2 linked regions of the Cricetulus griseus genome follow. The protein of the gene in region 1 interacts with the protein of each later gene in a pairwise test. Links are inferred from orthologs where the notes say so. Each region holds a gene or a part of one and is shown on either strand. Other genes may lie near its edges. The genes, in order: protein NPAT and Hinfp.

Region 1 (3,823 bases):
CTGGGACAGTTGGTGCTGAAGAATCAGCTGTGACTAAGAGACTAGCATCATTGAGGTGAAGTCTTCTGGGAAGGATTTCCTTGGGGTCAGCACACGGAAGCTGTATTCCAGAAGCAGCCAAGGTTGTACCTCATACTAGTTGCCAATGTTGGTAGTCTAAGAGTCACCCAGCTGGTACTGGTTTTGAAGGCATGAAGGGGTCATGGAGAGCAACCGAGGCTTGGCACTGTATGGCAAGACTGGAGTCCCTGAAGAAGCCCAGGAGAGGCTATCATTGAAAGTGCAGCTCAGTTGCAGCAAGGGACCCCAGCAGTTTTGGAGATGCCAACAATATAGGATGACCACTCAGAATAGCAGCAGTGGTGGAGTGGAGCCAGCCATAGTCTAGAAGACAAGCTACGTGTGCTGCAGAGGGCAGAGCCTGAGAAGAGACCTAAGCCTTTTGGGTCACTTTGGAGGAGCCCAGAAGATTGTGAGTGAATCTCCGACACTGGACATTGAATGATTAATATTGTAAGTTTGGTTTTGCTTTGTTCAGATTATGACTACGCCCTGGTTCTTCCCTCCTGAAGTAACTATTTTTTGATTTGATAGGAGCATACAATTCAAACACTGAATTTTAAAAGTCCAGATTTTAAAAGATTGCCTATTTTAAAGAGAATGAATTATTATTATTTTTTAAAAAACTTATGTGTATTGGTGTTTTGCCTGTATATATATTCACGAGGGTGTCATAGCCCCTAGAACTGGAGTTACAGACAGTTGGGAGTTGCCATGTGGGTGCTGGGAATTGAACCTGGGTCCCTCTGGTAGAACAGCTAGTGTTCTTAACCACTGAGCCATTTCTCCGACCCTAAGAGAATCTATTTTTAAAGACTATGGGACTTTAAAATTTTGGAATGATTATATTGTAATGTTGATGTGTGATCTTTGGGAAGTATAAGAAAAGAAAGGTTATGGCTTAACAGTGATGTGTTTGTGTGTCAAGGTGATAATGGGTCTATTGTGCGGACTAGTTGTATGTCAACTTGACACAAGCTAGTTATCTGAAAGGACAGAACCTCAATTGAGAAACTGCCTCTTTAAGATTGGCAAGCCTGTAGGCATTTTGTTAGTAACTGATGTGGGACGGTCCAACCCATTGTGGGTGGTGCCATTCCTGAGCAGACTGAGCAAGTCAAGATAAGCAAGCCAGGGTGGGGGTCACTAGTAAGCAACACCCCTCTATGTCCTCTGCATCAATTCCTGACGCCAGGTCCCTGCCTTGAGTTTCAGCCCTCATTGCTTTTGATGATGAACTACTATATGGAACTGTAAGTGAAATAAACCCTTTACCCCACCAAAGTTGCTTTTGGTAATGGTGTTTTCATCACAAAAATAGTAACCACAAGAGCTAGTTCCAGGACAGGCTCCAAAGGGGTTCTACACAGAGAAACCCTGCCTCGAAAATCTCCACCCCCCCCCAATTTTTTTTTTGATCAAGTATAGTAATAAAAGTTAAGAATTCAAAACAAAGCAAATCTAAATATTAAGATGTAGGGCATTTAGTGATATTATCCTAAGCTCAAGACTCTCTGGCTAGAAGATCCTATTACACACTGATTATTCTAACAAAGACTGAAACTAATTAGGAACTGAGTAGTGACTGTTCTGTTTGAACTTATAGAAGAAAACTTGGATTCCAAGAGAGTACTTATAGCCCTTAACCATTTACTCAATGTATTATATCTTAATGGTACTGGGCAAAAAGAACATACTTTTGTAACCAGATTAATCTACCTAGGGAAAATTAGAGTGACCACATGGTCCTTAGGAGTCAACCACAAGAAAAGCTATAGTAACTTAGTCCTGGTAGTAAATGCACCTTTACCTAAAAGGCTAACTATCCCTGTAAGATCTTATTTTCACATAAACCTGCCAAGTATCCAGGAATACTTATTCTACTTCCCTTGGCTTCAAATCTTACCTCTTTTCTCTAGGTTTTAATGCAAGCTTCATATTCTTCAGCAATTCTGGCCTTTCCATCATTTGAAATAGATTCACCAAATTTAATGCTTAGTTGATAATATTTCATCAGATTTCATTGTCTATATATCAGTACAATGGGAATGTAGGTGAATATGTGTGAATTCTTTGATTGCTATGATAATTTTGCCGATTGTTAACTGTATGTAAAGCAACATACAATGAAGACAAGAGCCCTTGGGGAAGTCTCTAAAGACTTGAATTATTTTTCTCTCTTTTTAAAAATTTATTTAATTTTATTCATGTGCATTGGTGTGAAGGTGTCAGATCCTCTGGAACTGGAGTTATGGACAGCTGTGAGCTGCCATGTGGATGCTGGGAACTGAACCCTGGTCCCCTAGAAGAGCAGCCAGTGCTCTTAACCACTGAGCTCTCTCTCCAGCCCCAACTTGAATCATTTCTAAATAGCACCAGAACATGAGTAATTAGAATGGGTTTTATAGAATTTAAGTTTTCTTGAAAGTCTCTCTAAACTAGAGCCAGGAGGTGGCAGCACATGCCTTTAATCCCAGTACTTGGGGAGACAGAGACAAACAAGTGGATCTCTGAGTTTGAGGCCAGCCTGATCTATACAGAAAGTTCCAGGACAGCCAGGGCTACACAGAGAAACCCTGTCTTGAACTCCATCCTGCAAAAGAACCATGATTAAAGTAAAAATAAAGAAATACCCTGCTAGATCGAGTTGAAGCATATATATAGGTATGCAATGAATTAGGCTTTTTCTTTTTTACAGCTTAGTGTTGTACATTAAAAACTCGCAAAGAAAAAAAAAAATAAAGCTACAGCCTACCAGATTTAAACAAAATCTGGCTGAACTGGATAGCAAGAAAGATGCATAAGCAATTATTTGTATAGTATTTTGTCATAGGAACTATCTATATTATTACCTAGTCAGTGACTTCACACAAGAAAATTAAGATTGCAATCCAGAGAAGCTCCAAAATATGTGTGCACACACACATATAAATTATACACACATACATACATGCATCTCTTTTCATTCAGTGGTGGAGATAGAGTCCACAGCCTTGTACATGTTATACAAGTGCTTTTCCAATGAACTATATCCCCAGCTCACCTCCAATATGCTCTTAGAGTTACCTTGTGAAAAGTTTGGCGACACAGCTTGGTTGACAGTAAATACACTGTTAGACTTTGGTGGTGTCTGTAATTGCTGTGGAGGAGGCTGTGCAGTCATAGGTGCAGAATTCCCAGGCAATACCACTACATTAGATTGACTGACAGTTGGTCCCAAGGTTGTTGGATCAGTCACACAGGTAGCTATCAAAATGTTACTTGAATTGCCAAAGGCTGTGCTTGTGGCAGGCATCAACTGTATGTATCCTCCATCCTTAGGAACACATGGTGCAACACTGGCTGAAAATGCAATGCTATCTTCATTCTGAGGGTTGTTTACTACTGGTTCCTCAGGTTTGAGTACTAAAAGGTTCTGCTCCATTGAGCCAGAATCCCCTACTTCAACAGATACAACAGCACTCGCAGTTTCTTCTGAAGACAGGCATGTAACAAATTCTGCATTTTTGGCGGGAGATTTAGAAGACAGAATTATCGTTGGCAAGTTTTCTCCACCGATACTAGATACAGCGCTGCTGAGCTCTGCATCTGAGGAAACAAATGGATCATCACTAATGATAATTTTGAGAGAGACAATACTTGATGCATCTACATCCACTGAGTCTTTGCTAGGTTTACCATCAATATTTTGGGTCTCAAGAGAACCTCCCACTGAACCACCAGATTCTGAAGGCAGCGAATGATTATTTTTCATAGGGTTACC
Region 2 (3,673 bases), about 9.3 Mb from region 1:
ATGGCTGGACACGGTTAGGGGATGGCTCAGTCAGTGAGTGCTTGCCCTACATGAGGCTCTGAGTCCAGATCCCCAGCATTCATATAGAAGCTATAAATAGTAACCTAGTACTGGAGCAGGGGCAGAGACAGGCAATTTCCCAGAGTTCAGTGGACAACCAACCAATCTAGCTAATAGGTGAGTTTGGACTCAGTATAACTGTCTCAAAAAATAAAGTGGACATCAGCCGACACTGATCTCTGGCCTCCACACACAACATGCTCACACAAGGCAGACCGTGTGCCTGCAGACACAAACACATGCTCACATATACACTACATAGTCATTTGTTTGTTTGTTTAAGACAGGGTTTCTCGCCGGGCGTTGGTGGCTCACGCCTTTAATCCCAGCACTCAGGAGGCAGAGGCAGGCGGATCTCTGTGAGTTCAAGGCCAGCCTGGTCTCCAGAGCAAGTGCCAGGATAGGCTCCAAAGCTACACAGAGAAACCCTGTCTCGAAAAAAAAAAAAAAAAAAAGATTATTTTAAGGAGTTTCAACTTCTTTAAGAATCCAATGAAAGTGGCTAGAGAGATGGCTAAGCAGTTAAGATCATGCATTGCTCTTACAAAGACTCCGATTCAGTTCCTAGCACCCACATGGTAGTTCACGGCTGTCTGTAACTTCAGTTCCAGAGGACCAGTCACCTCTTTTGACCTCCATGGGCAAGCCTATGGTATACTTACATTCATGTAGACAAACACTCATACACATAAAACAAAAGTAAACAAACATATATGTATAGTATACATAAGAATTTTTTTAATTCAATGAAAATAGATCCACTCTCTAGGAAAATGTATAGACACAATTTTCTAACTTGACTCCTGTCCCTTGAGTACTAGGCATTCTCTGGGTGACCACCCAACCTAACTCTACTTCAGATTCCTTTGCAGTCCCAGAACCCCAACCCACCCTAGAGGTATGGGGTTCTAATTAAGAGTTGATGGTGCAGTCCTGGTGCCATTCATACCCATTCTGTAACACTGCTCAGTCACTAATGGACAAGTACTTGGGGCCTCCTTCCACAAAGCTGGTAGATGCTTAGGAAGCAATGGACAAACTCTAGTAAATGAGTACATGACACTTAAAGAAACCACCCTGGTCATGAAAGGGGTAAGCCTAATGATTTAGCTCCACTTCTAGACAGCTGTTTCTCTTTGTTACCTAGTTAACTGTCACAAAACTTGATAAATAAGTAACAGCCCAAGTGCTTTATTACCAAAAAACAACTGTCATACATACACAGTGTCTCCAATCCTATCCCTGAAGATAACCACAAGTGTCCCTGGAATGTAAAAGGAAACCTTGAGAGAAATGGCACCTGGTTCTCAATGCTTAACTTATAGTGAGGAGACAGCTCTCATAAGGAACAGCCACTCATCATCCCTGGGCCAATGGGCCCCTAAAAACAGGAATGAATGTAGACTAAACTAAACATTTACTCTGTCTAGCATGCCAAGGGAGTATATTTAAACCTGGTAACATTTCCTCTAATGAGAACATACATGTAGGATTTCTTCAATGAATCCACCTCCTCAGGTTCCCCACAAAGAACATTAGTGGTGGGGGGGTTACTCACAGTCTATAGACCGATGCCACCTGAGTCACAGGGGAACATACTGTTCTCAGCACCACTTCTAAAGGCATCCAAAATCAAAGTCTGCCCACCTGGGGGAGCTGCTACCTGCCTGGCTCAAACTCCAAGATCTGGAGAAGTGGTCAGGCTCTGCAGCCTCAAACCATCTGGATCTCTGGCTTCTCAGGCATTCCTTGAAGTTTTTCCATCTCTCTTGAGGATAGTTCAGAGACTGGTGGGGGCTCTCCTGGGGCTTCAGATAGCACATAGTAGACCATTTCTCGCTGGCCTTGGCTGACTGTCTGGTTGACCATATGGATGGCAGAACTGGGGTTGTCCTGAGAAGCCGAGATGGCTGTTCCCTCAACCCTGTCTTCCTCTTCCATCTCTTCCTCAGGTCCTGGCCCTCCCAGCACTGTTTCTAGAACGATGCCCTGCAGGCTGCCTTCATTCAGTGCTACTCCTGGATCTGATCCTTCCTGTAGCTGCTGCAGCAGCTGCTGTGTGAGCTCCACACTCTCATAGCGAACTAGCTGTAGTCGCATGTAGCCATCTTCATGCTCCTTGTACCTGGAGAAGGCAGCAGACCAGCAGAGGATGAAGAAATGGCCTGGACACAGAGGGTGAAGATATAAATATGCTAGCTGGAAGACAGCTTAGGACTCTCTGTGACAGGACTGAAGCTTAAGAAAAGGTTTTTAATGGCATACATAGAAGAAAGGTCAGAAGAGAGGACTCAAAATGGAAAAATTAATGGAGAAGCCCAACCCAATAGAGACTGATGTTGACTCTGTAAGAGGCCAAAGTGTCAAAGTTTATGAGAAGGTCAGGGGGCTGAAAGTCAGGACCCTTAGCTTTTAATTATTGCTCTGGCTGCTGTACTTTTGGCATTACTTGTTGAATCTGAAACCAAGCTTCACTGGAAAAACCACAGCCTTGCATGGTGGCACATATCTGTAATCTCACTGGAGGCAGAGACAGGTAGATCTCTATGAGTTCAAGACCAGCCTGGTCTCCATAGCAAGCTTTAGGCCAGCCAGGGATCCTGTCTCAAAAAACAAATAAGAGCCAGGCATGGTGGCACACACCTTTAATCTAAGAACTCAGGAGACAGAGGTAGGCAGATCTCAGTGAGTCTGAGGCCACCCTGGTCTACAAACAATGTTCCAGAACAAGAACAACAAAAACAAACAAACAAAACAAAACAAAACAAAAAAAACCTCTGCTCTGATGGAGTTGTCCTTCTGTATATGTTTATCTTATTGGTTGATGAATAAAATACTGTTGGCCAACAGGGAAGCAAGATAGGTGGGACTAGGAGAGGAGGAGGATTCTGGGAAATGTAGGCAGAGTCAGTCATGTTTGACATGAAAGGATTAACAGGTCCACACTCTTTCTCCGGTAAGATAAGACCATGTAAAAATACACAGATTAATAGCTTAGTCATAGATGGTAGCATCAAAGTACCATAAAGTTCAAAGTTGGGTTCTTTTTTTCCTTGTTAAAAAGTCTGTCATGGCTCAGAGTGTAAAATGCTTGCCATGCATGCCTGATGACCTGAGTTCAATATCTGGAATCCACACAACAGAGGAAAGAAACAACTCTACAAGTTGTGTCTCAACCTCTAAAGGACTGGCAGCCCCACCCCCATATACACACAGTAATAAACAAAAACAAGGTATAAATCTGGAGGGAAAGATTTATACACACCGAAAACGAGGGTGTCCTGACGGCCACTTGAACTGGTGCTTCTTGCGAAGGTGCACAGTGAGGTTGTTGCCACGTGTGAAGCATTTGTCACAGACATGACATTTGTACCTTGGCTCTGAGTCTCCCTGATGAGGAAGGGAGAAGGCAATGAGGTCAGTTTTTCACTCACACTCCCGAGAACCCCGCCCACCGGCCACTTACTTCATGCACTTTGCGGTGATGGGACTTGATAGAGCTAAGAGATCGGGCACTGAAACTGCAGTTCTCAAAGTCACACCTGTAGGCTGACTCCTTGCTGTGGGTGTCCAGGTGCTTCCGGAGGTCAATCAGATTCTTGCAACTGCCAGG

What was found.
Region 2: the proteins of protein NPAT (region 1) and Hinfp interact in a two-hybrid assay, tested with the Homo sapiens proteins (2 studies listed by BioGRID). The link is inferred for Cricetulus griseus from reciprocal best matches to the Homo sapiens genes NPAT and HINFP.

Annotation. Positions count from the first base shown.
Region 1 is NC_048597.1:165,283,178-165,287,000, reverse strand, and holds part of protein NPAT, read right to left. Parts: coding exon 3,127-3,823; intron 1-3,126. UniProt on the Homo sapiens protein: Required for progression through the G1 and S phases of the cell cycle and for S phase entry. Activates transcription of the histone H2A, histone H2B, histone H3 and histone H4 genes in conjunction with MIZF.
Region 2 is NC_048597.1:155,984,241-155,987,913, forward strand, and holds the end of Hinfp (histone H4 transcription factor), read right to left. Parts: intron 3,666-3,673; coding exon 3,527-3,665; intron 3,451-3,526; coding exon 3,326-3,450; intron 2,186-3,325; coding exon 1,774-2,185; 3' UTR 777-1,773; downstream 1-776. UniProt on the Homo sapiens protein: Transcriptional repressor that binds to the consensus sequence 5'-CGGACGTT-3' and to the RB1 promoter. Transcriptional activator that promotes histone H4 gene transcription at the G1/S phase transition in conjunction with NPAT.